Lonchura striata: one gene and its partners. The protein of the gene in region 2 interacts with the protein of the main gene of each other region in a pairwise test. Links are inferred from orthologs where the notes say so. Each region holds a gene or a part of one and is shown on either strand. Other genes may lie near its edges. The genes, in order: DNAJA3, ATOSB, KIF20A and FHL5.

Evidence for each region.
Region 1: the proteins of ATOSB (region 2) and DNAJA3 interact in binary tests that used the Homo sapiens proteins (3 or more experiments, as listed by UniProt). The link is inferred for Lonchura striata from reciprocal best matches to the Homo sapiens genes ATOSB and DNAJA3.
Region 3: the proteins of ATOSB (region 2) and KIF20A interact in binary tests that used the Homo sapiens proteins (3 or more experiments, as listed by UniProt). The two-hybrid records come from large-scale screens. The link is inferred for Lonchura striata from reciprocal best matches to the Homo sapiens genes ATOSB and KIF20A.
Region 4: the proteins of ATOSB (region 2) and FHL5 interact in binary tests that used the Homo sapiens proteins (3 or more experiments, as listed by UniProt). The two-hybrid records come from large-scale screens. The link is inferred for Lonchura striata from reciprocal best matches to the Homo sapiens genes ATOSB and FHL5.

Annotation. Positions count from the first base shown.
Region 1 is NC_134618.1:3,662,895-3,670,899, forward strand, and holds the start of DNAJA3 (dnaJ homolog subfamily A member 3, mitochondrial), read right to left. Parts: upstream 3,011-8,005; coding exon 2,851-3,010; intron 2,752-2,850; coding exon 2,618-2,751; intron 2,233-2,617; coding exon 2,149-2,232; intron 1,614-2,148; coding exon 1,401-1,613; intron 677-1,400; coding exon 524-676; intron 1-523. Other genes in the region: CORO7 (coronin-7), read left to right, coding at 4,199-4,258, 7,159-7,255, 7,508-7,582. UniProt on the Homo sapiens protein: Modulates apoptotic signal transduction or effector structures within the mitochondrial matrix. Affect cytochrome C release from the mitochondria and caspase 3 activation, but not caspase 8 activation.
Region 2 is NC_134642.1:40,208,887-40,216,352, forward strand, and holds the start of ATOSB (atos homolog protein B), read left to right. Parts: upstream 1-4,450; 5' UTR 4,451-4,532; intron 4,533-7,466. UniProt on the Homo sapiens protein: Transcription regulator that may syncronize transcriptional and translational programs.
Region 3 is NC_134603.1:39,023,483-39,030,633, reverse strand, and holds the start of KIF20A (kinesin-like protein KIF20A), read right to left. Parts: upstream 3,017-7,151; coding exon 2,885-3,016; intron 1,703-2,884; coding exon 1,628-1,702; intron 1-1,627. Other genes in the region: RPS20 (small ribosomal subunit protein uS10), read right to left, coding at 5,656-5,838, 6,262-6,335, 7,066-7,151. UniProt on the Homo sapiens protein: Mitotic kinesin required for chromosome passenger complex (CPC)-mediated cytokinesis. Following phosphorylation by PLK1, involved in recruitment of PLK1 to the central spindle. Interacts with guanosine triphosphate (GTP)-bound forms of RAB6A and RAB6B.
Region 4 is NC_134605.1:75,234,789-75,242,318, forward strand, and holds the start of FHL5 (four and a half LIM domains protein 5), read right to left. Parts: upstream 3,005-7,530; 5' UTR 2,993-3,004; coding exon 2,834-2,992; intron 635-2,833; coding exon 460-634; intron 1-459. UniProt on the Homo sapiens protein: May be involved in the regulation of spermatogenesis. Stimulates CREM transcriptional activity in a phosphorylation-independent manner.

The DNA of each region.
Region 1 (8,005 bases), on a different chromosome or scaffold from region 2:
CTCCTTAGAGTGCTACAAACGTCTGTGTTCAGATGAATCCAAGGACAATCCATTTACATGGATTACTGCCAGTGTCCAAGAAAACCTTATGGTGACTAAGCCCTGGACTGAACCACTGAAGCACACAAGGAATCAGATGCATGGAAAACCAAAGCCTGCAGCTCCATCATTACCTGCATCTTCTTATTTTATGATTACCCTTAGGTTTTCACCACCTTCCTCCAGCCCGCAAGTCAAAAGATACTAATTTATTGCCTGAGGAATTTCAGAGCTATTACATGATATTCATATGGTTTGTGGGATGTGCAGTAGCAGAGGATCCAGCCTGAAGGCTCATGCTTTCAGCTGGGCACAGCACTTTAACACAAAGAAAATCTTCCTAGTGCCTACTAGCATCAAGCTGACACTAACTCAGCTTTGCCCAAGATAGGCTGATGAGTGTGGTGAGAATTTTTCACCATGGAATGAAGTGACCCTCCCCAGGAAGGGAAAGCACAGAACTGGTGTGCTGCTCAGCACTTACCATGCCCGTGCCATTGCAGTAGTGACAGCGCTGAGCTTTGGTGCCAGGTTCGTGTCCTTTGCCATCACAGCGCACACAGGAGTCCTGGATGTTCACCACAATCTCCTTGTTAACACCTTTTGCAGCTTGGGTGAATGTCAGTTCCATGATATACTGCACAGGAAACATGGATATAGATCCATGACTGAGGTTTGACAAGGAGACTGAGAAGAGTTTAGGCTAAATACTAAACAATGCTAAAAATAATTCTAAAAATTCTCAGTTAATAATGCTAAAAGTTCTCAGTAAAGATGACTGATCAAAATACGAAATTCTCCTTATATGATAAAGGTCATTTTTAGTAAAACCAAGAATACCCAACACCAAACATTTCTGAAGACAACACATGAATCATCAACACTTAAGGAGCATTTAGCTGCAACACGAAGAACAAGACAGATTTTATTATGGGCCTCACTGCAACATGAAGCTAATTAAGTTGCAAAATTAAGCCAATTAAGCAGCAGCCAAACATATTGCTGGAAGGCCTGGTTTATAGCTACAAGGTATTTTGTGGGTTTTAGCATAACAGATCAAAGGAGGCATAGGTAAATCAAGCTGCAGCAGAAACGATGCCTCTCCAGCGATGGAACAAGTCAGCAGTACTGGGTGATGTCAGTAAACACCAGAGAAGTAGCTCAAACCCAGAAAAAATATCCTGTCTGGAGGTGTGGGGTGTGTTCCTGCACAGCTTAGCAAAACTAAGAGACTCTGCCCATGCCATGGGACACTCACACACTGACATCCCCAGAAATAACTCCTCACTGAAGCTCCCACAGCTTGCAACAGAAGCCGGGGAGAGACACTACTTTCATACCTAATTAAAGGCACCTCCTACCTCCTGTGGCTGGTCAAAGACAGTCTGAAAATCGCCAAAAGGTGATCCCGAGAACTCCCCAAAGATCTTCTTGAAGAGCTCCTCGGGGTCGATGGAGGGGCCGCTGCTCCAGTACTGCCGGCCCGCGCCAGCCCCGGCCCCGGCCGCGCCGGCCTCGAAGCTCGCCGTGCCGTAGGCATCGTACTGCTTCCTCTTCACCTCGTCACTCAGCACCTGCGGCGAGGAACGCGCCTCAGGGCAACTGCGGGGCCCAGGAGAATCCCTGGCTCTGGGCTCAGACCTTCCACAAGGTCTCACCCAGCTCTCGGCACCACAGGAGTTAGGGACAAGCTGCTGCTTCCCCGGTGTTTCTTGGCTCATCAACAGAAAAATTACAAGATTTTACTACTTTATAAAAAACAGCAATAACTTACACTAAGCAGCTGATCATTATTATATCAGCTAAAGAGTGCTGGAATCCAAAAACAGGGCTGGGGGAGCACAGTGAAAGTCCCTCTGGACTTTTGGTTTGATTACTTAAACTGATAATAATTCCACAGAAGTGACATCTATGCCAGTCACTGCTAAGGAAGGGGAAAACTGAAAAAGCCCAAAGCAGCTAAATCAGATACTTGGACCAAGTAATGTCTCGGGACAGAGGTGCCCCAGATTGAAGTGCATCAAAAAGCAGCCAAGTTTTTACAGGAAACGTCTGCCCTCATCCACCCTCTAGTTTTTCCTCCTCATCACAACAAAATCTTGCTATTACCTCGTAGGCTTCTGCCAGCTGAGAGAACTTCTCCTTCGCTTTGGGATCATCCTTGTTTGTGTCAGGGTGGTATTTCTTTGCCAACTAAAAAACAAAACCCAACCATTAGGGACAGGCAGGAGTTATTTACTTAAGCATATCTCACATGCCAGGAAAAACACATCGGGCAGAGCCTGGCATTCACTAGATGCATTCCTAGGGATCTAAAACTCTTCATTTTCATTTATCAACCCAAAACAAGTAACTACAGGAGCTGCTCCTTATCTTCTCAGCAATCCCAGATCCTTCTAGAAGCGATGACAGCACAGGCAGACCAGGCTTTGGAAGCGATCCCCAAGGCCATGTGCTGAGCTTTCCCGCTGTCTCTAGCGGCTGCAAACACGGGATGGATTTGTTCCCTGCCCCAGCGAAGGGGCAGCGCCGGCTCCTCTCGCTGCCCGGGGGCGCAGGCCGGCGGCTCCCGGCGCACCTGGTAATAGGCCTTCTTGATCTCCTTCTGCGTGGCGGTGCGGGGCACCCCCAGCACCTGGTAATAGTCCTCCTTGGCGCGGGCCGCGCTGCTGTGGAAGGCGGCGGCGGCGGCGGCGGCAGCGCGTTTCGTCCCTGCGGGAGAGGAGGGAGAGTGGCCGCCGTGAGGGCCGGGCCGGGCCGGCCGGAGCAGGGGACGCACCGGGGGGAAAGACCCGCGCCCCCCCCGCTCACCAGCGGCGCAGAGCCCGGCGCGGAGCAGCAGGAGGCGGCGCGGGCCGCGGGCGGGCGGGGCGCGGAGCCCGCGGAGCAGCAGCAGCAGCGGCGGCCGCGCGTTCCCCGCCCCGCGCCCCGCGGCCGCCCCGACCCAGCGCGACGCGCACCCGGCCGCCATCTTGGCCCGCGCGCGGCGCTGCGCCTGCGCACCCTGCGGCGGGGACGGGCCGCGCATGCGCACGGCGCCGCGGCCGCGGCTGCCCCGTGCTTGCGCATGCGCGGGGCTCGGCGGGGCCGCGGGGACGGAGCGGGAGGGGACGCGGGGCGGGGACGCGGCCGGGACAGCCGGGCACTGCCCCCTGCCAGAGCCCCGTGCGGCGGGGCCGGGAACCCGCCCTGAACCCGCCCTCTGCTCTGCCTTCGCGGCCCGCGCCCCTCCGGGGCTGCTCTCCTCCCCCGGCCGGTGACATCTCTCGCAGGAGTGGAATAAAGGCTCCGAAAGCCCAGCGGGTGCAGCGCCGCACGCCCACGCTCAGGCGGCACAGCAGCCTGGCACGGCGCCCTCAGCGAGGCAGCAGCTTTCCTCTGCAGAGGGGGAGGACGATTCGTGCCAAGCGTGTCTCTCTCCCGCCCGCGTCCCCGGGGCTGGCGCCTCCGAGCGCTCCTCGGCACAGCTCGGGCCCGCGGCGCGGGGGAGGCTCCGCGGGGCTCAGCGGCGACAGGGACGTGCCCGCTCCTGCACACGCCGCCCTCAGCCCGCTGAAAGCGGGGCAGGAGCCTGGCTCCGCCGGCGTGGGTGACACCCGGGCTCCAGCCGGGCCCAGAGGGCCCAGCGGGCTCAGATCCAGCGCTCCCTGCTCCTCCTCCCGCCCCGCAGCTCTGAGTACACGACGGTCTCTGTTCACCGCCGGCTGCCGGGCCGCGGAGGAGGCGAGCACGCCGAGCCCCCGGCACTGCAAACCTCCCGCCGGCCCCGCGCTCCGGCCCCGAGCCCGACGGAACCGCTGCCCTGTGTGGGAGGAGAGCGGGGTGCCAGCCGGGGTCGCAGCACGGGGTGACCACGAGCCTCGGGGGGAGGCCGGGAAGGCGCCGGGACCGCCGGGCAGCCACCCAGCGGTGGCTCCGACGCCGGGGTTGGAGGCTCTGGCGGGGGTCCGAGGAGCCGGGGCTGGGGGTCTGTGCCCCGCTCACGGTGACACACGGGACACACGGTGACACACGGGACACACGTGAGGGGGTCCGGCGGGGCTGGCCCAGGGGCGGGGCGCGGGGCGGGGCTCGGCGCGGGCGGAGCGGCGGGGCCGGGCCGGGCCGGGCCGGGCCGGGCTGGGCTGGGCACGGCTCGGAGCGGTACGGCCGGAGCACCATGAACCGCTTCAAGGCGTCCAAGTTCCGGCACACCGAGGCCCGGCTGCCCCGCAGGGAGGTGAGCGCTGCGGGACCCGCCGGTAGCGGGGGATCGCGGGGGCGGCGGGGCCGGGGCTGCCGGCGGGCAGGGACAGGGATGGGCACGGGGACAGGGCAGCACCGGCCCCGCCCCGCGGCACCGGCAGGGCGCGGTCCGGGCCCCGCGGCATCGCCGCTGCGGCGGGGCCGTGCCCGGCTCTCCCGGCCGCGGTGCGGGTGCGTCCCGGGGCGGCCCCTCCTTGGCACCCGCGGCTGCCCATCCCGGGCTCCGCGGAGGGTCCCGGCCCCGGGGCGCTCCGCAGGTGGGCGGCTGGGGAACCCCAGCCCTCTCTGGGGCCGGTGCAGCCCCCGGCCGGCAGCGGCTGGCGTGGGGTACCCGTCCCGTGGTGGCTGCTCCCCTCCTGCCGCTGGCACGGCTGGCACAGGCGGTGCATCCCCGGTTCTTGCTGCCCGCTGCCGTTCGGTATCTCACCCTCCTGGCCCGTACCAGCCAGGGAAGCACGCACCGAGAGCGAAACGCTGGGCCTCGCTCCTGCCACCCCGCTGTGCCACCCCGCTCCGCAGGCACGGAGGAAGTGCTGGCCCCACGGGGTGCTGCTGAGCCCCGCCACCCTGCCCGTGAGCTGTGCGGCTCGGCACCGCCGGGGCCAGGCAGCTCTGGGAGCCTCGCTGGGCAGCACGGAGCCGGTCATGCCCAGCCCTGGCCTCTGCTCCGTGAACAACCAGCCCCAGTCATGCCAAGCGTCATGATCCATCCTGGCACGGTGTTGGCAGTGGGTAGCCCTGCCCTGCTGTCTCCTAAACCGCAGATCTGGACCGGGGAAATCTCCCAGGTCCCTGTCCCTACAGATTTGGTAGGGCAGGGGCAGAGATGCAGGGGCAGGGCTGGGTGAGTGGTATCAGGGAGCATTACCAGGACACACAGCCCTTCTGGGGGTTCCCCAAGCTGAGTACCCTTCACCCAGCACCTCCTCAGCACCGTGGCCATGAGTGAGGCTGCTGCTGCTCCCAGCCCTTGGGTGTGCACACATTCCTTGTCTGTAATTTCCCAGCCAGGCTGTCCTTGCACCCACCTGTGGCCTGTGCTCACCTCTGCAAATCCAGCAAGGACCCAAAACATCCTCTGAGCTTCAGCTGTGGGAGGGGACATGGTGTGCCAGCCCTGGTGTGTCTCAGGTGACTGAAATCTCGGTTTGGATGAATGGTTGGCTGTGAATCTCAGGGTTCAGATGAGGCACTGGCAGCCGGGAGTGTGCGTGCCTGTGGGGTGGGACATGGCATCCTGCAGGCAGGGACATCCCATCCTGGTGTTGGTTCTGTGGTGGGGGAGCTCCGAGGGGCAGCGTGCTCTCCCTGTGTGCAGGGAGGGATCTGCTGTGCAACGCTTTTCCAAAAGGCTTTTCTCATTCAGGCATGAAACGTATCCTTGGAAGTGAGGCCACACACTCCCAGTAGGGCAGCAGGTGGAGAAGGAAGTCTTGTCACCAAGCCCATCTCAGGTGTCACAGCGGGAAGCTCTGTTGTGTCCCCAGCTGAGCACCTGTTTATGGAGGCACAAGCAGACACCCGACCTGGCTGGATCAGGAAGCACAGTGTAAACATCAGGGATCACATCTGATGCTGCTCTTCAGGCAGCATCTGCAGGGCTCTGCTGGCAGATGGCCCTTGAGAGCTCACAGTTTGTTCTAGGGATGTAGCCAGGATGCTTTCATGTGCTTTCCTGGCCATGCTGCCACGCTGCAGGAAGGATCGCTGCCTTGAGGGCTGCTGCCTGTGTGTGTGGGGAAATTGTGGGGTCAGGATGGACCAGCTCTGTGAAACCTCACTTCAAGGGTCCTGCTGGCACCCCTGGGTGCTGGGGGTCAGATGTGACTGGTGTCACCCTCACTGAGGGTTCAGTGCAGGGTGGTGGGATGCAGATAGTGGGGCCCTTATTCCAGGGTCCTGCTCATGCTCCTGACCTGTTCCCCATCCCCAGTGCAGCCCCCTGCCCACATGCTGGGTGTGGGGACAGGAACCTGCCTTTGGCAGGAGAAGGGTTAACAGGTCTGCACTGAGCTGTGAGGGGAGGAAATGCTGCAGGAACCACTGCTCCCTGTCAGGCCTCAAACGGAAGTTGTGCAAGGAGAGGAACCCTGGGGCTCGGGGTTTCCCTTCCCTACCCAGGTATCTGCCCAGTTTGTGGGGTTTCCACTGCTCGGGACACCTGCTGCAGCTCCGGGGGCTGCTGTGGGCACACAGGCCTGGTGTCAGCCATAAAACACCTGCCATTGCCACTGTCAAGGGTTGGACTTGGCCCTGGGAGTGCCAGGGAGCTTGTAGCCCTCGTGGCTGCTTGAGGTGGGGTGTCCGTGTCGCCTGGAGGGGGTCTGGCTGATGGAGGGTGTCCCAGGGCCCCACGAGTGCAGTGCTCAGCCCTGAGAAACACTGCAGAGTGGGAGTTTGGTTTTGAAGCTGTAATGCAGCTCCTTGGCTGTGTGTCCATGTGGGAGGTGTGCTGCTGGAGGTGTCTGTTGGCCTCAGTCAGCCACAGCTTGACCCTGTGGTGCTTCACAGCCCAAGAGCTTTTGTCCCATCCAGATTCTCTGGCACCAGTTATTGCAAAGACCTTGGACACTTCCCACAGTGGGACAGCCCAGAGGTGGGACAGTCTGGGTGCTGGGATGCTCCTGTGTCCCACCCTTCAGCCCCAGTGAGGGGCTGTGCTTTGTGACAGCAGCAGGAGCAGCCACGTTGGCCTGGGACACCCCAGAGGACAGGATAATCCCGTTGGCATCGCCAGTCTCCAGCTCTCCATTGGCACGGCAGCTCCTCTGGGGCTGAGGCTCTCTGGCCATGCTGTGCCAGTGGTCCTGCTGCTGTGCTCCAGGCCCTGCCATAAGCAGGCAACCCTGATGAGGTTTTTCCCTGTGCGCCCAGGCGTGGATCAGCGGCATCCGGGCAGGCTCTGCCCCCTCCTGTGGGAACCACGTGAAGGCCAGCTGCCGCTGGATCGCCTTCAGCGCCGAGGCGGCCGGTGAGGAACAAGGGTCCCCAGCACTGTTGGGGAGTGGGATGGATTTGTGCCAAGGGTCCCCGTGGGGCTGGGTGGTGGGTCAGTCCCCCTGACCCCCGGGGCACTCACCAGGGTGAGTGGAGGAGGGTTTCCCTGAGAGCCCCCAAAGTGCTGACAGTCCCACACCTCTTGGCTTGCATTGCAAAGCTGGGTGCCCCTCGTGTGTCCCAGGCCGGGGGTGTTCCTGACCTGCTCCTGTGCCCTCTCCTGCAGGTGTGCTGGGCATTGTGCCCCTGGAGTGTGAGGATGGAGGCAAGAGGACAATATCTCAGCTCTGCTGCCACTCAGGTGGGTGTCAGGTGCCACCTTCCCCCTCCACAGGACATGTTTGGCTCCACATGGGCTGTGGAGGTGGCCCGGGTGCTGAGTTCAAGCCTGGCAGGCTGTGGTGAGCTGTCTGCCAGGCAAGGGACATAGGGACCTGCCAGGGACCATCACCCATGGGCAGGATGACATGAGGAAGGGCTCTACCAGGCTGGCATCAATCCATGTTCCTTCATCTCTCAGGCTGCAGAGAGGCCTGAACATGTAGCTCTTTCTCTCACCCTTCTAGCACTGCCTTTCCACATTACTCATAGCATGCCCTGAAATTCCCAGTACACCCAGTGCCAGGCTGGAGTTGGCATCGCTGAGGCATCGCTGCCTCCAGTGGCAGGAGGAACAAGCTGGACCAGCAGCTCTGATGTGGGCAGAGTGAGTGTGGCAGGGAAG
Region 2 (7,466 bases):
TCTTGCTGAGCAACCTTAGCCTGCCAAGCTGTAGCCAACAGCCTTTATCCCTTAGAACCCAGACTGCCAGCATCTCCAGGACAGATCTTTCGAGTTTTGTACATAGCCAGGACTCCTGTTTAATTCTGGGAAGTCCCATGTGTGTCTCAGACAACAGTGAAGTCTGTAGCACTGGGTTAATGACCTGTGTCAGACTCCAGATCATCCATCCTTTTTTCCTTGGTCTCTAAGGCCCACCATGGTACCTTGGGGATCACAATGCTGCCCTCCTCTACAAAGGTGCTGGGAGACAGCTAATAGGAGAGGCAACACTGGAACTATGAGTATAGTGTGGGTATGGGAGCAAAAGAGCAGCCCTACCTGGCCCTACTACCCTGTGTTTGTTAAAGTGATCTCAAATCCATCATTCTCACTTCTTCCTTTCCCACCAGGACTCTGAGACATGCCCAGTTTGGGATGAGGCTTTGGTGGGCACTGGGACTCAGTCAGCATACCACAGTGACTCCATCTCTATTGTGACCCCAAGCTCTGCTTGGAGATGTTACCAGAAGGAATTCCCACAGTGCCAAAAGAGAATGCCATCTCTTCCCCCGAGGGCAGTAGGACTCCCCCAGCAGGAAACTCTCCAAGTTTGATTTCTATCTTCAGTTTTACAGCTGTTTCTGTCAAACAGGTAAACCAAGCACATCATGGAACCAGGTTCTGGCGGGGGAAAGGTCCTGCAGCACTGGTTCACATTCCCCCAGGAAAATTCCCTAGCTCCAACACAGGACCACAGGGCACTACAGTGCATCTTCTCCTTGTGACAGTCTCAGAGAAAGAGGGACAGGCTTTGGCCTTTGTCTCCTCTAGTTGCAAAATACAGGGAGGACAAGAAGCATTAAACTCCACAGAGGCAGGCATTGCAGAAGATACAGTCCATGCTGCATGCCTAGGACTGGGACTGTGAGAGATACAAAAATGCAAGCCTTTTTGTGGCAACACACCGTTAAGAAAGGAAGTGACACCCTATGCTCCTCTAGTACACCTGTCTTTTCAGCTTTCTCCAGCTCCTCTACCAGCTGGGATGAGGCCATGAGTCACCACACAGTGCCTGGTCCAGCCCTGCCATTGATCCACACCCCACCCAACCTGCCACCACTTGCCAAGGGCCCCAAAACAACGTGATAGCTGATTTCCACCAGCTTCTTCCAAGGTCCTTTTAAAATTCCCAACAATCTCTTGCTGGCAGGACTCCAAGTCTTACCAGGCTTGCTTCTGCACATGGGTCCTTTATTGCTTTACCTACCTATGGACTTGGATCAGATGTACATGGTATGGCACAGCCTGCTGGCACGGGGAGTGTACAGGTGATGCAGGGGTAGCATCACCCCTATACAGGCACATCCTGCCCCATCAGCACTGACAGATGATCCATGTACTTCTCAAGGGCACTTTTGCAATTGTGAAACCTGCCCACACCAACAAAATGAGTGTGTGCATGGGGATGCCGCTCTTCCATGATGAAAACCATTAAATTAAATTAAAACTGGGGCAGGAACCTTGCTTGTGTCAGCTCCTCAGCATCCTGGAGCTTGGCACCTGACAGCCTTTTGAGTGGGAGCAGCCAGCCTGGCAAACAGGCTGAACAGCCCCAGCTCGCTGCAGGCAGGTTGGGGCAGCACTGGCAGCTCCAGGAAGGAGGTAACCCAGGGATGAACTCACCACCACTCAGTCACCTCACCAGGACACCCTTCAAAGGGAAGCCCTGCAGGCAGAAAGGCTCAAGACGGAAGGACGTCATTTCACCATGTGCTGCTTGGGACACCTCATCTTCCTGGGAAAACACCCTTCTCCCAGCCCTCCTGGCAGGCGAGTCTGGAAAGTGGCCAACTCTGGTGCAAAGCCATGCCTAATGTGCTTAAACCCCTTGTTTGCCTTCACCAACCCTTGTAAAGCCCTTTTCAAGTCCCCAGTGTGTGTAAGGAATAGATGAAGGCTACTCCTGGCAAGGCCTAGGGTGGGCCCCTCTGTAGAGAAGTAATATAGCTTGTGCAGTAAGTCTGCTCCATCCCCAAACCTCCCAAGCCTCTGGAAGTTTTTCCAGATGCTCTCCAAATCACCACAGCTTGTGTTACTGTGCCCATCAAGTGGCCATAGTTGAGGTTCTGCCCCATGGGAAGAGCAATGGGAGCAGCCTCACCCCATCAGACTGGTAAAAGGGGCTTTTGTGTCCTGCTCCTTAATCCTGCTTCTGAAGTGAGAACATGTTTCAAAAACCAGGGGAGGTTGCTAAGGGACAGTGTGCTCAGCAGGGACATCGCTCACAAACCCTCAGCACTCAGAAGCGGGAGGTAAATAACTTGGGATATTATTAATCCTTCACTGCCCACACAATAAACAGAAATGTATTATTCTTGTCAAGGACAAAGGAGCCTATATTTCCCCCCAACCAAGGAGCTGAACCAGCAAATTTTTTTGATTCAGCTCCACAGTGGTTCAGCTTTGACTGAAGTTGTTCCAGTTGAGTTCCTGTTCAGGCCAATAAAGGTTCATTAACCATTTTTTAACTGTGAACTCGTTTCAGCCAGTTTACAGTGGAGAACACAGCCTGTGTAAGCAGCTGTGTGATGGGGACTGAGCCTTTTTCAGCCCATCCCTGGTTTCCATAGCCTCTGCTGCCTTCCTGTTGGACTCCAGAATTTCTTGTCAGCTCAGCAGAGATGACATGCAGGGTCAAAAGACAGAAAAGCTAAATTTTGCCCTGGAAGTCTGTAGAAAATCTGCACTGTGAAGGAAAAATGGGCATGTGGGGAAAATGAGCTTCCTGGGCTCTTCCTGGCACCAGCACCTGTACACACAAAGTTTGAGTCAGCGGCTCCTAAGTCACAAGGAACACTGGAGAATCACATGTTCCTGTCATTACACTCAGAAATTAGACTGTTCCATACATTAAATACCTTTAGTGGCCCACAAGCTGAATGTGGGGACAGCCAGGGGTTATTTAACAAGAAATTGCTTAGAGCAGCAATCTGAGGCCCCAGGAGAAGATGGGGTCCTGAGTTGGCAGCTGCTGCTCCATGGCCACATAGCTGTCAAGAGGACATTGAGCTGCCATTTCTCCCTGCAGAGAGGCACGTGCAGGGCACGGCTGTCAGAGAACCGTCTGTCCTGCTCATGGCTATTCCCAGACAGCATCAGCACAGCTTTATCGATGACAGCACCTCCGAAAATAATGCCCCAGGATCAGCAGCAAGGCAAGGGGAGCGTTGGGACTCAGCAGCCAGTGCACTGCAGGTTCACATCCAACTCACTGTGTGCTGTCAGAAAAGGAGATCTTGGTTATATTTATCATTTGACGATACTGGTCCCCACTATTTTTAGAGTGGTGTTGCAGCTGTAGCTTCCTGAGGAGAGAGAAAAGTCGATTGGGGGACTGATCTTTACCGAACTTCACCCAAAAGTGATGAAGTCAAGGCATCTCTTCCATGACCTAAATGGCCCGTGGTCAGGCTGGTGAGCTGTGGGCTGCTTCCCCTCGGGGCAGTGGATCCTGCTGGCATCCCCACAAGCGGGTGGCACTGCCCAGGTACCCCACGGCTGCTGGGTGTTTTGGTATCTCTGAGCAGCCATATCCAGGGGGGCAGCTGCCCCCCGGGTCCGGTGCCCACGGTGGGCTCTGGCACAGGCCGGCACAGCCCGGCAGTGTGGGTAGATGGCCCCGGCCTGTGGGGCACCAGCACCAGCTGGGGAGTGGGGAACACCAGGGTGATTCCACTCGGGGCATGAGACAAGGGACACCGCGGGGGTCTCACTTTGGGGAGGCCATCTCCATGGGCAGGGAGGGTCATCTCTGGGGCTGGCACAGCTCGCATGCATGGTGCTGGGCGAAGGGTGACTGTGGAGTTGGGACATGCTGTGCCCGTGGGTGTGTGCACGGGTGGGACACGCCGTGGGGCCGGGGGCACCTCTGGGGTGGGACGTGGTAGGGACGAGACGGCTGCCCCTTGGGGTGGCTGTGCCCTTGAGTGGGACATACCGTGCCCGTGGGGCCGTGCCCGTGGGTGGGACACGCCGTGGCCGTGGGTGGGACATGGCGTTCCCGTGGGGCCGCTCCCGTGAGTGGGACACGCCGTGCTCGTGAGGCCGTGCCCGTGAGTGGGACACGCCGTGGCCGTGGGTGGGACACGCCGCGCCCGTGGGGCCGGGGTGCCCCCTCAGCCCGCAGGGTCAGGGGCGGCAGTCCCGCCCCGCGCCGAGCCAGGCCCCGCCCACGCCGCCGCCGCCGGCCAATGAAGCGCCACGCCGCCCGGGCCCGCCCCTTCCCCGCTGTCATCACACTCCCGCACGTGGAGGGGGCGGGCCGTAGGCGGGGTCTCGGCGCGGGGCTTCACCGCCCATTGGCCGCGCGGCCCCGCGGCTCGCCCGCCCCGCGCCCTGCCCCGCCCAGAGCACCAATCAGCGCGCGGGAGGCGTGTCCGCAGCGGCACCCGGAAGGAACGCAGGAGCCGCGCACAGTCGGGGCCGCGGCGGCAGCGGCGGAGGGGGCGCTGGTGGGTCCGGCGGGGCCGCGACGGGTAGGGCCGGGGGGCGCGGGGCACGGCCGGGGTCCGGCGGGGACGGGCCCCCCGTGCGGCGTGCGAGCGGGTTCGTGCGCCCCATCTCTGCCGCCGTCCTCCGGTTCCAGAAGGTTCGGGAGGGCCGTTGGGACCTGGAGCCCAGACCGCAGGGGCGAGCCGGAGCTGGGGGAGGCGCGACCAGGAGGGGCCGTGATCGGGTAGTATGGGGGAGGTCGTAAACTGAATGGGCAACTGCGAGCGGTGGGGGGCCTTGACCGAGATGTGGGTCTCTGTGCTGGGGAGGTCGTGACCGGGATGGGTGTCTGTGAGTGTGGGGGACTGTGACCGAGGTGGGGAGCTGTAGCCGGGGCACTTGGGCCGGCAAGAGGCCTGGCACCGGCGGAGGCTGTGGCAGGAGGTGCCGAGGCGGGGGGGTCAGGCGGCGGTGTGACCGCAGAGCGACTCTGGGGGGCCGGGGGTGCCCGGGGGAACTGAGGCTTCGGGAGGGCAGTGTCTGGCAGAGGCAGGTGTGGACCGAAACGGGGTGCAGCCTTTGCTGCGGGGTGTCCCCGATCCCGGCTCCCAGTTCCCCGGCAGCTTAGGGAGGCTGCGCTGCCCCTGGTCTCGCCCACCAGGGCCACGTCCTCTGCGCTGTGACATGGGCTGGGACAGCCTGTCTGCAGCTCTGCCCGCACGGTGGGGCCTCCTCCTCCTCCTCCTCTTTTTCTTCCTCCCGCGGGCATTAGCTCCAGCCCAGCTGGGACGTGGTGGGTTGTCCCGGCACGGCCCGCGGCGGTGGGGCCGGGTACCCCGGGGGCGCGGGAGGCGCGCCTCGGGCGGCACCCGCCCCGGGGTCCCTTCCCAGGCCCCGGCGTGGGGTGCGGGGTGGGCGCCGGGGCGGATGTGAACCCCGGCATCCGCCGCCCTCTGGTGACAGCCAGCCGCGGGCGGAAGGGCCTGTCGGGGGCACTCCCCTCCCGAAATCAGCAGCTGCCGTCCTACCGAGGTTTTCAAGCATCTTGCAGGTTTTATACAGAAACGGCAGCCCGGGTGTCAGGTTTGGAAAGGTGGTCTATTAGGGAAGTCAGAGGAAATGGCTGCATGGTGATTGCTGTTGAGGTGGGCTTGCTCACGACCCACCCGTGAACATAATCCATCAGTATGAACGGCACACACCTCCAGGGTTTCCACACTCCTTTTATTATTTTTCTTTGAAAGAAGGCGTGTGGAATTTGCAGTTGCAGTGGAAAATGCATGGTAGAGGAATGTTGTGCTCTAAATTTAAATTTTAAAAGTAATTTCCACTCATTGCCTTTTTAAAAACATCAGACAAGCAGAGATGTGCTTGCAGACCTGCCCTCTCCCTGAATCGTATCTGTTGGCATCAGTAAAGAGGAAAAGTTGAGAAATTGTGGAGATTGTAGCAAGCTTGAACCCTGACACAAAGCAGTGTCTTGGCAAGCTTGGTAGCACGAGGAGGTGAACAAGGTCCGGCAGGTGACATAGAAGAAAACTCCCAATGTGATAGTGCTAGAGTTACTTTTGGCAGGGCTGGGCTTTAGGTTGAGGACTGGGAGAATGAAGTCATCCTGTAAAGCCTGGTCACCGCCTTGTTTCACAGCAGCAATTCCCATGGTTTGGGTCTCAGCATGAGTGAGTGGCAGGGTGCTGATGGGGACTCTACATGTGCCAGCATGCAGTGCCAGCATGCAGTCCCAGCACTAGGGCAGGGCACTGGTGGGAGTTGGCAGGGCTGAGGGGTTCGGATGGGGCTGGTTCTGAGGGATGCTGCTGCCACAGTGTTTGTTGCCAGGGTGTCAACACTTGCCCTTGCCTGACCTCCAGCCCCTGCTCCCATAACATTTAACCGTAATACTGTATTCCTGCTGACTCTGGTGGGGCCTGGACATGTCCCTTCCCATAGAGACTAGGGTGGTCAGGACAGCAGAGCCCTGCTGTCACCACAACTATGTCCCTTGGTGAACTGGGCTTTTGGACCAAGGTCCACCCACAGTTGGAGCAGTGCTGGGGCTGTTTCAGCTGTACCACTCACCCGGGGTAGTGGGTGAAACGCCTTGTTTCTATTCCTCATGTGAGAGGTTTCTTACCCACTGAAGGAAGGAAATCTGGTGGGGTCACTCTGTACTGTGGGAACTCCATTGTTCAGAGCCGCAGCTTACTGAGGAGAAGTGCATCTTTGCCCCGGTCTTCCTCCTTGCTGTCTGCTACAGGCTGCTTGCCCTGGCACATTTCTGCATGACTGTGCTGAGTACCAGAGGCCTGAGATACCCGAACTTTGTTCTTTGAGTCTGAGGGTGATTGAAGAGGATGGCTGTTGATCTGAGTCTTCAAAGTCAAAGACTCTTGGCTCTTCCCAAGTCCTTTACATGTTCTTATTGCTCTGGGCCTGCCCAGGTTTGTCCTCTGCTAGATCTGGTTGACACCATTGTGTGATGTGTAGAAATGCACTATGACTGGGTGCCAGGACACTTCCTGATGCAGAATAAGAAAACCTGTTGTTGGTAAGTATGTGGCCACAGACAAGAAAGGAGAAAGTGAAGCCATATGGTTAGAAAAGTGGTGTCCTCAGCATGCTGTCAATGGAGCTGTAATGAAATTATCAGAGGCTTTGGTAGCTGGAGGAATTAATGAGTTGGGTTTGAAACAGTACAGATGTGAAGGGCAGCATGGGATAAATCCTGAAAGGAGATATTTGTATGCTGGCAGATGGTTTGTAACAGGTTACTTAGTGAGATTGTTGCAGGTTACTTTGTGAGAGTCTTCTCTGAGAGGCTTTTGCCTGATGTCTCTCCATGTTGCATGATTCCCAGGGACCTCCTTCTTCCAGGGATCTGTGTGGGCCTCTGTATCCTGGTAATGCCATATTACCATGTTTCTGATCCTCACTTCTGTTTGCAGCGACTGGCA
Region 3 (7,151 bases), on a different chromosome or scaffold from region 2:
AGAGTAGTCAGATCTGCAGAGATGGAAGCCAGATGGTGACAATTCACTCCACTGGTCTCCCCCAGCTAACCCTGCAGGTAAGTTGGCAGGAGCTGGACCATTTCTGGTGCTGAACACATCATTTATATCCAAAACCACACATCATTTATATCCTACTTTCCCACAGGTGACTCTGGACAATTGCTGACAGGGAGTACAGAATTTCACCCAGAGCTCTTAAGTTTAACTTCTATAAATCATTATCTCTTTAAGCATCAACTGACCAGTTAACCTGCTGATTGTCTTTGTTTAAAGCATCAGCCTATAACTGTAAGGAATCAGTCCTGGGTTCTACTTTTTTTTTTTTTTTTGTGCCACATATTTGGAACAAAGGTGCTTTCCTGAAAATTATGCATGGCAAGGAGGAATAAAAGACCTACAAATTACATTGATCTGATTTAATGATCAGGAAGTGAGGCTTACTTGACTGTTTTGTGTGGGTTTCTTCCATTTGTTACCAAGCATTTTCTTCTTGGATTCAGGTGATAATAAAGAAAGTAGAAAACACTGAAAATGTTGAAGATCTTTAAATCATTCTGGTTTTGGAGGCTCAGAAAAACGCCTTAATCACATGCAAAACAGATTATACAGCTAATAGGTTGGAAGTTCAACTATTTCAGCCTGAACCACATGAAACAAAAAATTTTGTACAAACCTCAATGTTCATTTTTTCTTCCCTGCTTTTAAGAAATGTCTCACTCCAAAGAGGAATGTACTCAACAACTCCTGAAACAATCTGATTTTGCAAATCAATTTACAATTGAAGCCAGCTCAGACTGTGGAATTTACCAAACTGGAAGCACTATTCAAGGAGAGCTAAGAAAAGGCAAAGGGAAGCTGGGGGCAAGAGAGGGAAGAATTATCCAAGTGAAAACAATACAAAGGTTCCAACTCCAGTAGATCAAAAGCAAGAAATGCATTTTTAAAAAACTATTTGCAAGAAGCAAATAAGAATTAGCATTAAATGCTTCTTAGAGTTCTTCAAGCTGACCTCTCCACAATCAGACAGCCTGCAAAGACAAGGGCTAAGAGATATGATATAGAGATCTTTGTCCTCCAAAGACAGCTAAAGGAATTCTTTTCATCAGTGATAACAATGCAGGAAGGAGGAGCACTTCTAAATGTTTGTATGAAATGTGTATGTATGAAACACTGAAGCATCTGAATCTGACAGTATAGGTTACAGAAGATTTTTGACAGGCTGAGAAAGAAGTCATCAGGATGAGGTAGGAGATTATTCAAGCATTTAAAAGAAGCTTAAGAGTCAGATAGTCAAATTACAACTAGAATTGCATAATCTCTTCCATGGAACTCCTTTGTATCTTCAGCACTACAGAGAGTTGAGACCAATTTTTAAATAATATACCCAGTGAAACTTTGAAGAGCTACAGGTGTACATGTCTATATCATAGAAATTATTAGAAGTCGTGAGGGTGGAAAAAAAAATCTTGCATCTATCCAGATGCCAAATAATTCCATATTCCATTCCAAGGGCAGTACATAGCTTATATAAAAGAAAGTTTGGCCTTATAATACTATGTGTTGTTCAGAGGAGAAAAAAAAATTATTTCTTAGTTCTACAACAAACCTGGGATTCATGGCTTTCAAGCTCTGCTATAGAAAAGGGTCTCACTCTCAAGAAGACTTTCAAAGGCTCATATACCTATTCATTAAAAAGAAGAAAGACACAAAACACAGTTATAATTGCCACTTTTTAAACAGAACAGCCCCGAATCATATCAGCATATGTATCTGATATTGTTTCCTATTTTATATTAATGTCTTATGTTTTCTTTCATGTCAATTTCAGACTCAAAGCTTTTATTTGCTTCTTTCCCTTCTACTGTCCTAAAGCAACCCATTTTTCCTGTGCCCCCCCCAACTATTCCCCTCCCTTTAGCATTCTTTCACAACAAAACCAGTGTTCGTGATTTTAAAAGAGCACACTATCAGGGGCACGAATTGCACTGCTTCCACCTTCTGGTCTCCGGCTGTACTGAATTCAAGCTGTGTTTAACAGCTGCTACACAGTATTGCACTTTCATTCTGTATGCAGCGTGTTCAATTAGCACTGACTGACACATTCTTAGCCTCAAGAGACCACTTCCTTAACCACCATCCAGGCACCACCACACCCTCAGCTTCCTCACAGTAGCAAGCAGGCAACCAGTCTCAGTTGCCCAGGCGGCCTTTTCTATCCCCCAACCATTATACAACTCTCTCCTCCCAAGTAAAGCAATTATAGCAAGAAGCATTTTAGAGGAATCCCAGCACTCCTTGCTTTCTCAAGGAGTTTTGGTCTTTACTTTGGCAACGTTTCATTCAGCAGATGGATTTACTCGAGTTCCCCACAGCCCTGTCATGACCAGCAGTAATCACTCAAAGTGAAATCATCTGAGGAAAAGTCACATAGGAAACGGATCCCTCTAAAAACGCAGAGCTGGGTAGAACTACTTCTGCTCAAGCACAGCAGAGCATTATAGATTTTTATTTCCAAGCACCTAGTGAGTTTTTACATCAAGGATCTGTGTATTTTTTAAAGCTTATTAAAAAGAATAGTACAGTCTCATTACATTCAAATTGCAATTACTGAAGTCCTTTACTTGTTTTTTTCACAAGGTTTAGCACATCATATCGCATAGCACTGACCATGGGTTCGCATTTGGTGCGAGCTATGACCCGTGTGTAAACAATGAGAAATAAGCAGAAGAATCAAACACATCCCGGGGCAGAGAAGTACAGCAGTTCTTACCAAAGAAACATTTATTAAAGCTTAAAAAAAAAAAAAATCCATCAATAAACAGCCCAGTTTCACCAGAATACACCTTGTAAAACCAATCCACACCTGCTGTTCCTCTGTATTGGGCAATACTGTTGATTCCAAGGGGGAAGGTTTACCATCTACACTCAGAAAAGAAACCGATTCCAACACATCACACACTTCCGTGGAAACATAGTTCTTCCTCTCATCAGCCATCGTTCTCTGCAAAGGAACTTGTAAAGAAAGGGATTAAAAAAAAAAAAAAAAAAAAGCCCATCATTATCTGAGAGAACGAACAAAAATACATACGGAGCATAACAGAGATGGGGCCGGCTCGTATATAAACGAGCACTTCCGAAGAAGACAGGGCAATCTAGAGAAGTTTGGGGAGTATGACCTTCAAAAAAAAAAAAAAAAAAAACACAAACAAAAAAAACCCACGCGGCAGGTTATACTACGTAACACACAAGGGAAAGCGCGCTAGCAGCCTCAGCTGGGCACTGCTCTCATCCACCCGCAGTCCCCCGGCCGGGCTGGGGTCCCCCGGCCGCGCTGGGGTCCCCCGGCCGGGCTGGGGTCCCCCGGCCGGGCTGGGGTCCCCCGGCCCGCTCCCATTCCCGCTCCCGCCAGCGCCGCTACCTTGGCGCGCGCGGGAACTCGCGAGCCGGGCCCGCGTAAGCGTGGGGGGGCGTTTTGGGAGGAGAGGCGGGCGCTGATTGGCCGAGCGCGGGGGAAGGCGGGCGCTGATTGGCCGAGCGCGGGGGAGCGGGGATGGGGGGGGTGATGAAGGCACCGGCAGAGCTGCCTCAGCCCGGCAGGGGGCGCCGCCGCACAGCGCACGGGAGGGAAGGCGGGAATGGGGGCAGCGGGAGGGAGCGGGGCGGGGCGGAGCAACGCGGCGGGTGTGGTTATGGTCCCTAGTAAGGCACGGCGGCAAAGAAGAGCTCTGAACCGACTGCCGGGCGGCCAGAGGAGGGAGGGTGTTCTGCCTGGCAGAAGGGGAGGAGGAAGATGGGCGGGGGATACGCGGGTACCTAAATGTTTCCGTCCGAGCGGGTTATATAAAGTTAGCGTGGTGTTACGCAACCGTCCCGGCGCTGCCGCGGTGTAGAAGTAGAAAACGAAACAGGAAATAAATAAAATCGCGAAACGGGTCACGCGAAAGCCAGGAGTGTGCAGGTCAAGGACGGCGGGCCGGGGGAAGGCGGGATGAGCCTGGAGGACTCCGCGATCCAGCGCCTTCCAGAAGCTGAGGACCGACCCTGCCGGTAACAAATGTACCGCACCCCGGTGCGAGCCGGCCTGCTCGCAGCAGGCAGGCAGCAGTATTTCTGCACAGAGCGGCACCCATACACAAAGGGAAAGATGCATCTGTGTTTATGGGTAACTTGGAGATAAGTGAAGAGATGACAAAGGAATTTGGTCCTTGGGACTTCAGGTCATTTAGGTGTGTTTAAGAGGCATCCGGCAAGTCAGAGGTACAGCCAGGTGTAAGCCGATACCAAAACTGTTCCCGCTTTGACCAACGGGAAAAAGCTAAGGCAGAAATAGTGTCAAACCCAGCCAGCCGTGCCTAGATCCCTCCAGTCACGTTTGACACAGGGCTACTCTGTAATCAGACTACTTAAGTAGTCTGTAACTCATGCCACCAGATCTCCACATGCTATTTGTTTGCCCATTTACTCCTGTAAAGAGCAATCCATATAATACAAGTAATTTTAAAACTATAGCTAGAAGTTATTTGTCAGGCAGCTTTTATTTGTGGCGTATTACCAGAAACAGACTTTAAGGAAGACACAGGTATTTTGTGTTGGGGGGTATTTCCCCCTCCACATAATTGTCAAGCCTACTTCCTTGAGAAACAATCTGTTCACATTAACTCACTCACCTCCCTTCTACCCAAGCTCTCAAGCCTAAGTGGAGGGTGAGAATCCTTGTAAGGCCTTAAAGAAATTGAAAGCCTCTTGTATCTGTTGAGTAAGAAAGCTCAAGCTTTGGTCAATTTTAGGTCTTAGCAAACATAAACGACCTGAAGCAGAGGATCTCTTGCAGAGAACCACCACTGCTTGTTTTAATTAGAATTCAAGTTGTCTCCTATGCTTGAAGCAGTTGGAGCGACCTGATCCTTAATGGATTTAAACAAGTGTTTTCTAGAACTCTGGGCTTTGTTTTGTTGGTTTAAGATTAGTCACAGTTCCTTTGAGAGACTTAAAAGCAGCAAAAAAAATGGCTGCTTCGTTGCTTTACATATGAAGCTTGCTATTAGCATTAATATCTATGGAAATCTAAACCAGACAACTAGGTAGTTCCATAGTTCAGCTTTATGACTCTACACGCACATCGAAATAAAATTGTTCAATTCACTGTGTTAATCACAAATTATGAAGTTTTACAACTAGCACCCCCAGGATCCTTTGATTGTGACACACATGGGGAAAAAAAAATCCAAATAAGCTAGGCATTAGTTCAGTCTTGCACAGCAAGAACCAATAATTAAAAACTTGGTAATTTTACCTAAATATCAATTTTAATGCAGGTACTGTATATAATGTCTGTGTATAAACTAACATTTCAGCCAAAATCAAACCCTTAAATTATTAAAAATATATTTTTCATCAAGTGCTGCACAACCATATAGTTGCCAGACTCCAATGAAACCAGGAGCCCAAGTTAAATTTTCCTGCTATTTACAGCTGGCATATTCTTCCTTAAATATAGTCTTCTCACACAGCATTCTGATTGTGGTTTCTGTTGTTCTTCATAAAAACCAGCACAGAACTATCTCTTGGCAAACGTAAGAAAAGAAACAAATGATGAAAATTTGTAAATCAACTTTATTCAATGATGAGTATCATTTAGGCATCGGCAATAGTAACTTCAACTTCTACGCCTGGTTCGATGCTGATGGAAGTGATCTGCTTCACGATCTCCGAAGGGCTGTGCAGGTCAATGAGCCGCTTATGGATACGCATTTGGAAGCGATCCCAGGTCTTGGAACCTTCACCACAAGGCGTCTTCCTGGTAGTGATCCGCAGGGTCTGCAAAGTCAAACAGGGGGTATTTAGTTCATGCACTGAGAGGAGTAATCTACAATCATATGAAAAGATGATCACCTACAAATACTGTATGGTATCTATGGCATTAGAAAGCTACCTACTAAGTTTGGTCTGCTGATTAAGTTAACACTCCTTCCCTACATATTTATTTTCATTTAAAAAATTAGTTTGTTATTAAAATAAAGTGAACAGAAAAGCCCCTTCCACAGTCAACAAGTTTTGTACTTAACAGTTATCCTAAGTAGCTGTCAAAGCAACTTGTGAAATCATCTTTTTACAATGGGTTACCCTCAGTTTAGTAGCACTATTTTTCACCTCACCTTTTGTTCTTTAAAAAATATGTTTTTAAGCACACAGTTGCAGAAAGAAAACCAATTTTTAAGGCAGAAAAACAGTGTCAAGTACCTTGGTGGGCATGCGAACAGGTCCCTTCACCTTCAGGTTTTTTTCCTTAGCACCTCTGATCAAGTCAGCACAGACTGAAAAAAGACAAGCAATGGCTCAGGTTTGCAACTATTTTGATTTTTTTTAAGCACGTATTTTAAACAAGATGTTGGCTCAGAATAGCGTATGAGCGATCACTGCCATTCATTTAAAGCATTATCCTCACAGCCAACCACGTACAACTGAAAGTGTTGTGACATCACAAGTAAAGCCATGGTGCAACAGTAAGTAATAGGCATTACAAGCTTAAACCGTATTTAAGCTGTTATCAGCCTGAAGATCCTGCAAATAGTAACTTTTTTTACATTTTTATTATATGACTAAACACTGGCAAAGCTAGTTCCTAAATTAAAAGTTTTTTTTAAAGAACGTTACACTAAACTCTTCATAACACAAATGGCAAAATATCAAGAAACCAGTGCCTTTCAGTTCTTATACATTCAAAGCATGGTAACTATTTAAAAATTCTCCGTAAGAACTAAAGGGAAGAAGCTGCACTCTCTTACATTAGTCATTATGACATAAGTTTTCCACATAATAAAAACCCACAAAACACCAACTTTCATTAAAAATTAAATCAGAATTTACTTTCTGGTGTGTGAAGCACTTTGATTGGCTTTGCGAGCCGAGGCAAGTACAAAAAGGCGAACAGTAACATCTTTAATTACAACTGGTTTCAGTACATTGTATTTTGCAATGCCTTACATGGCACCTATTATTCATTACTTGACAAGCTACCCAAGTAAGCAGAGAAGTACTACTCACCCTTCTCCAGTGATTTTACATTGCGACTTGTCAAAGTAATTCTAATGCGATGGATCGCCACCTCTTGTTCCACAGGTGCTTTGCCA
Region 4 (7,530 bases), on a different chromosome or scaffold from region 2:
ATCTGAAAGCAAATTGTCATGTTTTGACAATTTAAACAAAAAAATATTTCTGAGTGAAAGCACTAGGATAAAGAACACAAACACAGGGTCTGGTCAATGTGGGAAACATGCAGATGATTTATCTAATCTGGCACTTCTGCTCACAATAGCTCTGTTTGTCTGCTTATGCTCACAGTGGGATATGCTTCCTAAGAACTGCAACAGAATCAAGGACATCACATGGACACATTTTACCCTGCATTGAACTCTTAATATTTTTAAAAGGATTCATAAGACCTGTTAGTGATCAGAAGTGTCTGCCTGCCTTCTCCCCACTGCTGGGAGAATTCCACACAAAGGAAGAGTAGTCTCCTCCAAGCTGTTCTGAAAGTCAAGGGTCTTGTAACTTGGTTATTCCAGGAGGTGGTTATCATTAAAAATGTGGTTCCATTTCTCAGCAAAGGGCCCCTGTTGTCTTACCAGGCATAATGGTCTTCTGGCAGTGAAAACACTTGGATGAGTACTCATCAGAGTAGCACTCGGTGCACAGCAAGACCTCGTCCTTGGCAGCAAAGGGTTTCTCCACGAGTGAGCGACTGCACTTGGCACACCTGAAGCACCCCTCATGCCAGTGGCGGCCTTTGTAGGCCAGATCCTTGGAGAAAGTAAGTCCATGTTAGTGAGAATATTTATTTACAGTGGTTTTATCCTTCAATTCCTTCCAGAACTAAAACAAGAAAGGAAGAGCATCGCAGGGGCGGACCCAGCCAGAAGTGTGCTCAGGGAAGAGGCAGGTACTCAGTGTCACATTGTTGTGTGGATCTCTTGCAGATGCCATTAGGAGCTTCTTTGACAGAATGTCCTTCCTTATGTAACACAGAGGTATGTTTGTATTGGAAAAACAACATTATATATTACAGTTGTCTTTTAAGGGGAAACGAGTGATCAACATTTTTAATGTGCACAGACCACTGGAGAGGAAGTCCATATTCTATAGAATTTGAAATTAATATTTTCAGTGTTACTACTTCCAGCTGACATGACAGAATGCTGTTATGTCAGAAATCAAGCAATTAAAATCTTATTGAGAACAAAATAATTATTAGCAAGATTAAAAAAAATTCCTTTTGATATATCTGATACATCTGATATAAATCCCCCTGAAAACTTGGCAGAAAAATGTTTGTTTAAGAGTCAGTGGGCTTAAGGGATGAAAGAGCTAACAGTATATATATGAGATCCTGACTAAGAACTCAAAAAAAAAAAAAAAAAGACCAAACAGCAGATTTAATTTCCCCACCGTTAGAAAAGACAGGGAAAAATGCACCTCCAAAAAACCCTCCCAGCTTAAAAAACAAACCCTTCCAGGACTCTTTTATAAGTAAGAAACATGAAAGGGCACAAATCCAATCTCATTGTTCTCCTTGATCATGTCCCTGCCTTTTAAAGAGCTAAAAATAAAAGAAATACCATGCTTCACTTCAGGAGGTGCTGAGCATTTACCAGTTGCATTTGCTTTCGTTAGCACTCTGAACCTTGCAGGAACTCGGCTGTCAGCCCAGAGCAGCCTGAGGCAAAGACTGAGTGAGGAGGAGAGGAAGAAAACCAAGCTCTAACCCCTTGGCAGAGGTGAGACAATCAGCTGTAGATCTCTGTGTGCCACTTTTCTAGATGTCTCTAGCCAGGTGCACTCCTTTCTTACACGTCTGCTTTTTCCTCTCATTTTTCCCTTCCATTCAGTCCAAAGACATGGCTTTTTGTTTATGATCCTCAACAAGAGTAATCCTGTCACTTATTTAATTTTTAATTTTAAAGATGAAATTAAGTGAACTCAAAGCATGTGTTCTCCTGGTGAATCTGACTGCTGCTACGTGTACAGTGTTGCTGTGGGTGAAATGCTGATGAGAGTTTGAGGAGTGTCTTCAACCAAATCAGCATTTTCCTTAGATGATTCCTGGATGTAGACTATGTGCTTTGAAGTGCTTGGGCTGGGAAAGCCTTCCAATATGTTTATTTTAATATATTTCTGTCCTTTTATTTCTAAGGAACATAGGCAAAGAAAGCATGGGGAGAAGGTGACCAGTACACACTGAACTTGGCAAAATAAATGATTTTTGATAGGTTTCATTTGACCTTAAAATTCAATGTCAAGTGTATGTCCTCTATATTGAAGTATGGGGTACTAGAAACCCTGTCAAAAACCACAGAAGAGCTTGAATTATTAATTAATATTGTAAAAAACTGAGAGGTGAAAGACAGGCAGCAGAAACACTGCCACTAATATACCATCTGTGAGATGAGCAAGGTAAGCATGGAATTTAGCAGAAATTAAAAAATACTTTATTTCCAAAAGAGAGAGAGAGAATATGCAAATTATAAACGTTGTCTTCTAAGCTTGGCATCTGCTTGTCAACACCTACAGTAAAAGTAATTTATTCAATGCTCAAAACATTTATTCAATGAACATGTCTCAGAAATTCTGAGGTGTCAATCAACCTGATACACTGAATTGCACCATCCACCCTATCACCCCTCCAGCACTGTGCAGCCCCTGCAGCCAATGAGTGACTGGAGGTGAAGGATGGAGCTTAGCTGAGGTCCACACACCCACCACAGCCTTGCTGTAAACCTGGGGCATATGCATGTGCAGATTTCCTCATCTTTGATCCCAGAGCTTTCCTTTTTCATGGAAAATAGCACTGTTTCACTGCTGTGTGTGGATGTACAACAGCTATGGCTAGGTCTCTTCAGCAATACAGGGATATGAAAAGGGGTGGATATCAAATCTACCATTAAAGAAATTTGATTTGTGTATAATTTAACAAGGAACAAAAAGTTCAAGCCAAATCTTTACCTTGGAGTTGCACTCAATGAGCTGCTTGCACTCCTGGCAGGGGTTGGCATACAGGCTGTCATAGCACGGAACACAGTAAGCATTTTCTTCTCTTAGTGCATATTTCCTGCCACGGAGGGACTGCAGGCAGAAATGACAATCTGTGTGGCTGCTGGTCATCCTGCTGGGACCCTCCACGTGATCTGCAAAAGATGGAAAAGTCGTGTAATTCAGTGCATAATGCTTGCTCAAATACTAAGTAATGCTGCATTACCTGTGAAAGACAGGCATTTCCTGGTCATTTGCAGTGCCCTGGATTTCTTAATGCTGGCTTGTTCAACAACAAAATGGTAGCCTTTAACAACATATACTGTGAATTGTATCACTTACATGATGAGGAGCAAGAGGGCTGCTTCAGCTTATTCTAACGCTGTTTCAGGCCAGACACCTGAAAATGAAGCCAACTTCACATTCCCTACATAAAACTACTGGCATTATGAGCATTATGTACTGGATCCTGAGATATACTTCATCCAGAAATTGGGTAATGGAGATAGAAGCAATAATTCAGAAATGAAACCAACTGCAGAGTTAAAAGGCCAAAGAGAAGAGGCAGGCACTTTGTAGTGTGTTCCTGACTTGCTCTTGATACTCGTGTCCTTCTACTCGTTCCTTTCTTTTCAAAATACCCCCACATCTACCTGACCCAATGGAAGGAAGACAAGGGGCTCCAGGATATATGACTGTTTTTTGCATTATTCCAACTGTGCTGCTAATATTTGGCGACATTTTAAAGTCACACAAATATTCCCGGAGAGTAAAAGAGTAAAATATAAAGAAAAATAAACTAAATAGCAAGTCAAACAAAATCAGAACTCAAAGAAAGTTTTCCTTGTTGTTATTGGAAAAGATTGTTTTTCTTACATTTTTCTTTATTTCTATATTGGATTCCACATTGGCAGTACCAAAATAATGTGAAATAGTTTATATTTCTGTGCCAGACAAGTGCAGGAAATACCACAAATCTATTGAGAATCAGTTGTATGAATTTCCCATCCTTCAGTTTTTCAGGCTTAAGAGGCTTGGACAAACATCCAAACCTCAGCTGCTTATAGATCTGCAATAATAGATGTTTTAAGAATTGTGGATTTTAAGCCCTATTTCAGTCTTCTTATTGCTGGTTGGATCATCATCTCTTTGCTAAAATTGGGTCTTGATTCTTGGAAATGAAGGAAGAAGAAACCAGAAAGTTCATAGTGAAGCAACACCGAAAACATCTGCTGGGCTCATTGGGTTGCACTCTTCATTAAACTCAATGAGTGTATCTGCAGCCAGCACCAGCAATCATTAATTTTAGAGGAGTTGAAAACAACTGGAGAAGGTCTAAAATATTTATGTGTCAGTGACTTTGGGCAGCTGAAATTTTTGCACTTTGAATAACAGGGCAAATTAGTTTCTCTTAACCAGATGCAGAGCCTGAGAATAAAGTAGAACATGCAGAAGACAATATAAGAACATAGAGAAAATTTGAGGGAGTTCTTATCCATGACAAAGCCTACATCTAGCCCACTTAGAGTTGCAACCTCACACTTTGTTTTTATGCACTCACTGATGGCCTGAACCATACCTACAGTTGAGCTTTAAAAAGGCATAAAATATTTTCCTGGGTTTCTGCTTTGGTAAGCTCTAAACCAAAATGGTTGTTTGAGCTGTGAGAAAAAAGCAATTACTGCAGGTTTCCCCTAGCACCAACGCATAAGGCCAGGCATTTATGAATCTGTTCTGGGAGATGTAGTAGTAAAAAAGTGAAAAGGGGGCAGGGAGAGCGGCTGTCATACTAATTTCAGACCAAAAGTAATGACTTGGCTAGAAAGCTTGTTGTTCCTATAAATTGAAAATCTTTGGGGTTGAATTGATATATGGTATTTCTTACTGCCCTTAATATTTGTGTCAGCCAAGACAGTGTGTAGTAAGGAAATAATCTGGAACCCAGATCAGTGGGAAACATGCTTTCTTAAAAATATTTCTGATGTGTTTTATGTGATATCCTTGGAAAAATAATATAACAGGGCTTGAATCAGGACTTCCATTTCCTTAAGATCAAACAGATTTGAATGTGTAACAAATAAACCCATTTATATAAGAAAATTACATCCATCAGCTTGTACATTTACAGAACATGACATATAAAACCAGGCAGAGCTCAGTTCATTTAATACACAATCACAGTCATGACCAAAGTCAAGGTTAAGTTTTGCCCATTTTGCTCTTTATTGGGGAAGAAGTATGAATTGGTGTCTAAGGACACAATCAAGGAGTGTTTATGGTTAACTCCATAGTTAAGGTCACAGAAAAGGCTTGAAAACTGGGTTTCAGAGGATTTTCATTTTTTTTAGTGGGAATTAAAGTTATGAACTGCCTTGGAGGATAACCCCAAGTGAACCACCTTTCTGATCCCCTCCGTGCTGGATCAGTACTCCTGCTTCCTGACAGAGTTTCATCTCAGTCTAAAAGTGGCAACAGCAAAATCCAAACAGGGCATTCATAAAAGTTTTGTTACTTATAGCACATTTTTGTTACACAAAGCTCACCAACAAATAGCTTCCCATGTCTGTAGAAACATCTCTGTTTTTTTATCCTAATAAATGTCAATCAGGTTTTCTAAGTTATCAAAACCTCTGCATTCCAAATAATTTTCTTTAAAACGTGGCTATCTTGATTAATGCTTTTTCTCCCCCAGAAAGTCAGTCTGTTCCAGGAAGCACAGGCTGTGTGCACAAACAAGACCCACTACTGTAATACTCCAGAACTACTGAATTTGCAACGTGATTATTCTCTTAAACCCCTATATGGATATAAGAACAAAGTATTATTAATCCTGTTGTACAGATGAGAGCTGTTGCTTGAGAACTTTAATAAAATACCCCAAGAACAGAGTCAAAGCCTGAGGGTGTCCTTGGGCTGCTTCTCTAGTAAAATGCTCAAGGTGCCCAAGACTTTTCTTCAGAAAATCTTCAGTTTGACCATGAATCATCATAAAAGACCATGTTTGGGAATGAAGCAGCAATGGTATGCAAAAGAATGAAGATTTTTTTGAAAACCTTTTGGCAAAAATATGGGTAACCTTTGAGAACTACTTTTACCATTAGAAAATGCAACAAAAAAGGTAAATCTCATCACTCCCAGCACCACTTATCCATGCTCCAATAAATAAGTAATGGTACGAGCGCCACACAGTGAAGTAGAATGTTTTTCTTGTGCTTTGATCCTAATCTCTAGAGAAATATGTTTACTTTAAGTTTGCTGGAAGCTAGACTTTGTGTTTTGAAGGTCAGCTAAGAAATCTCTGGAGATCTGATGTTATTCACTCTCGTGGAATGAAATGCTGACTCCAGCATTCCAGCTGCTAACTCCAGTCCTAGGCACAGGGAAAGACTGCCATGTTGCCCTTCCTTGGGAAAAGATGATTTTATTATTTAAATTGGAACATTTTCAATTGGAAGCTAAATACTGTTGATTTTTATGTACCTGGTTAGCAGGGATACGAGCTATCATTTTAAAGGTTAAGAATATTCCAAGAAGGTGCAGAGAGATGTTGCCAAGGACATGAGGACATTGTAACTGGAGTCCCTGGGGTCAGATTTGAGGATGCAGCAGTCTCATGGACTGAATGATAAAAGAGATGATAATACAAAAAAGTCAGTCAGCCTGCTGTTAAAGCAGATTAAGATAGAATTTAGCTACAACAAATTCAGACAGGGACTTTCTGGAGAGTCAAATTATTTCACATAAAATGCACTAGAAGACTTCCAGTGAAGACAGCTGTAAGAACATGGTTGTGAAGTTGAGTCCTGATAAATATGGAACCATCAGGAAAAGAATGTTTTGGTTTTTTTCCCATTGGAGCTAAAAAGCAGAGCCAGAAGGTTAATATACATTTCAATAATTAATCTTGATGTTTTCTATAAATATATGTTAATCTTCCTGACATCATAAAAAAATAAAAAGCCCAAAAACATTCATACTACTGAGAAAAGAATTAGTATATACATATGGATGTAGATATGTACATACAGGTAAAAGTGTTCTATCTTTCACTTTGTGGAAATTCTAATGGAATATTTCTTAATCTAAATATATCTACCACTGAACTCCATGATCTTTTTCTTTAACAACAAACTATTTCTTAGAGAGGCAGAAAGAAAAAAAAAAAAAGATGGGAAAAAATCCTTTGAACAGCACTGAAGGATAAGAAAAACAATTTGATATCTTATGATGAGGACACCCTTGCAAGTTGCCCTAGGCACTTGTTCATTTTCATGTAAGTGCATTCTTTTATCTTCTAATGCTATTTGCCTTATTTACATGAATTTGCTGACAATTTTCTCTATTTCTATTTTTGTCTCATGCATTTACATACATTAAGAGTTCTGTAATATTTGCTTTTCTAAAAATGGCTACAGAAGCAATAGAAACTAGGGGCATATATTACAGATCAAGGCAAACCAAGAACCTACTGGAAAGAAGACACAGATATTAACTCTGAGCTATCTTATCTCTGTGGCACAGGACAGTAATACAGCGTCAGGTCCTGGAAGCATCTGAGTGAGTGCAGAGTTCTCACTGTTGAAATCCTCCTTTAAGCAGCCAGGACATATGCCAAACAGGACACAGCTGTAAGAATCCAAATATTCTGCTTCATGGTCCACAAGTGACAC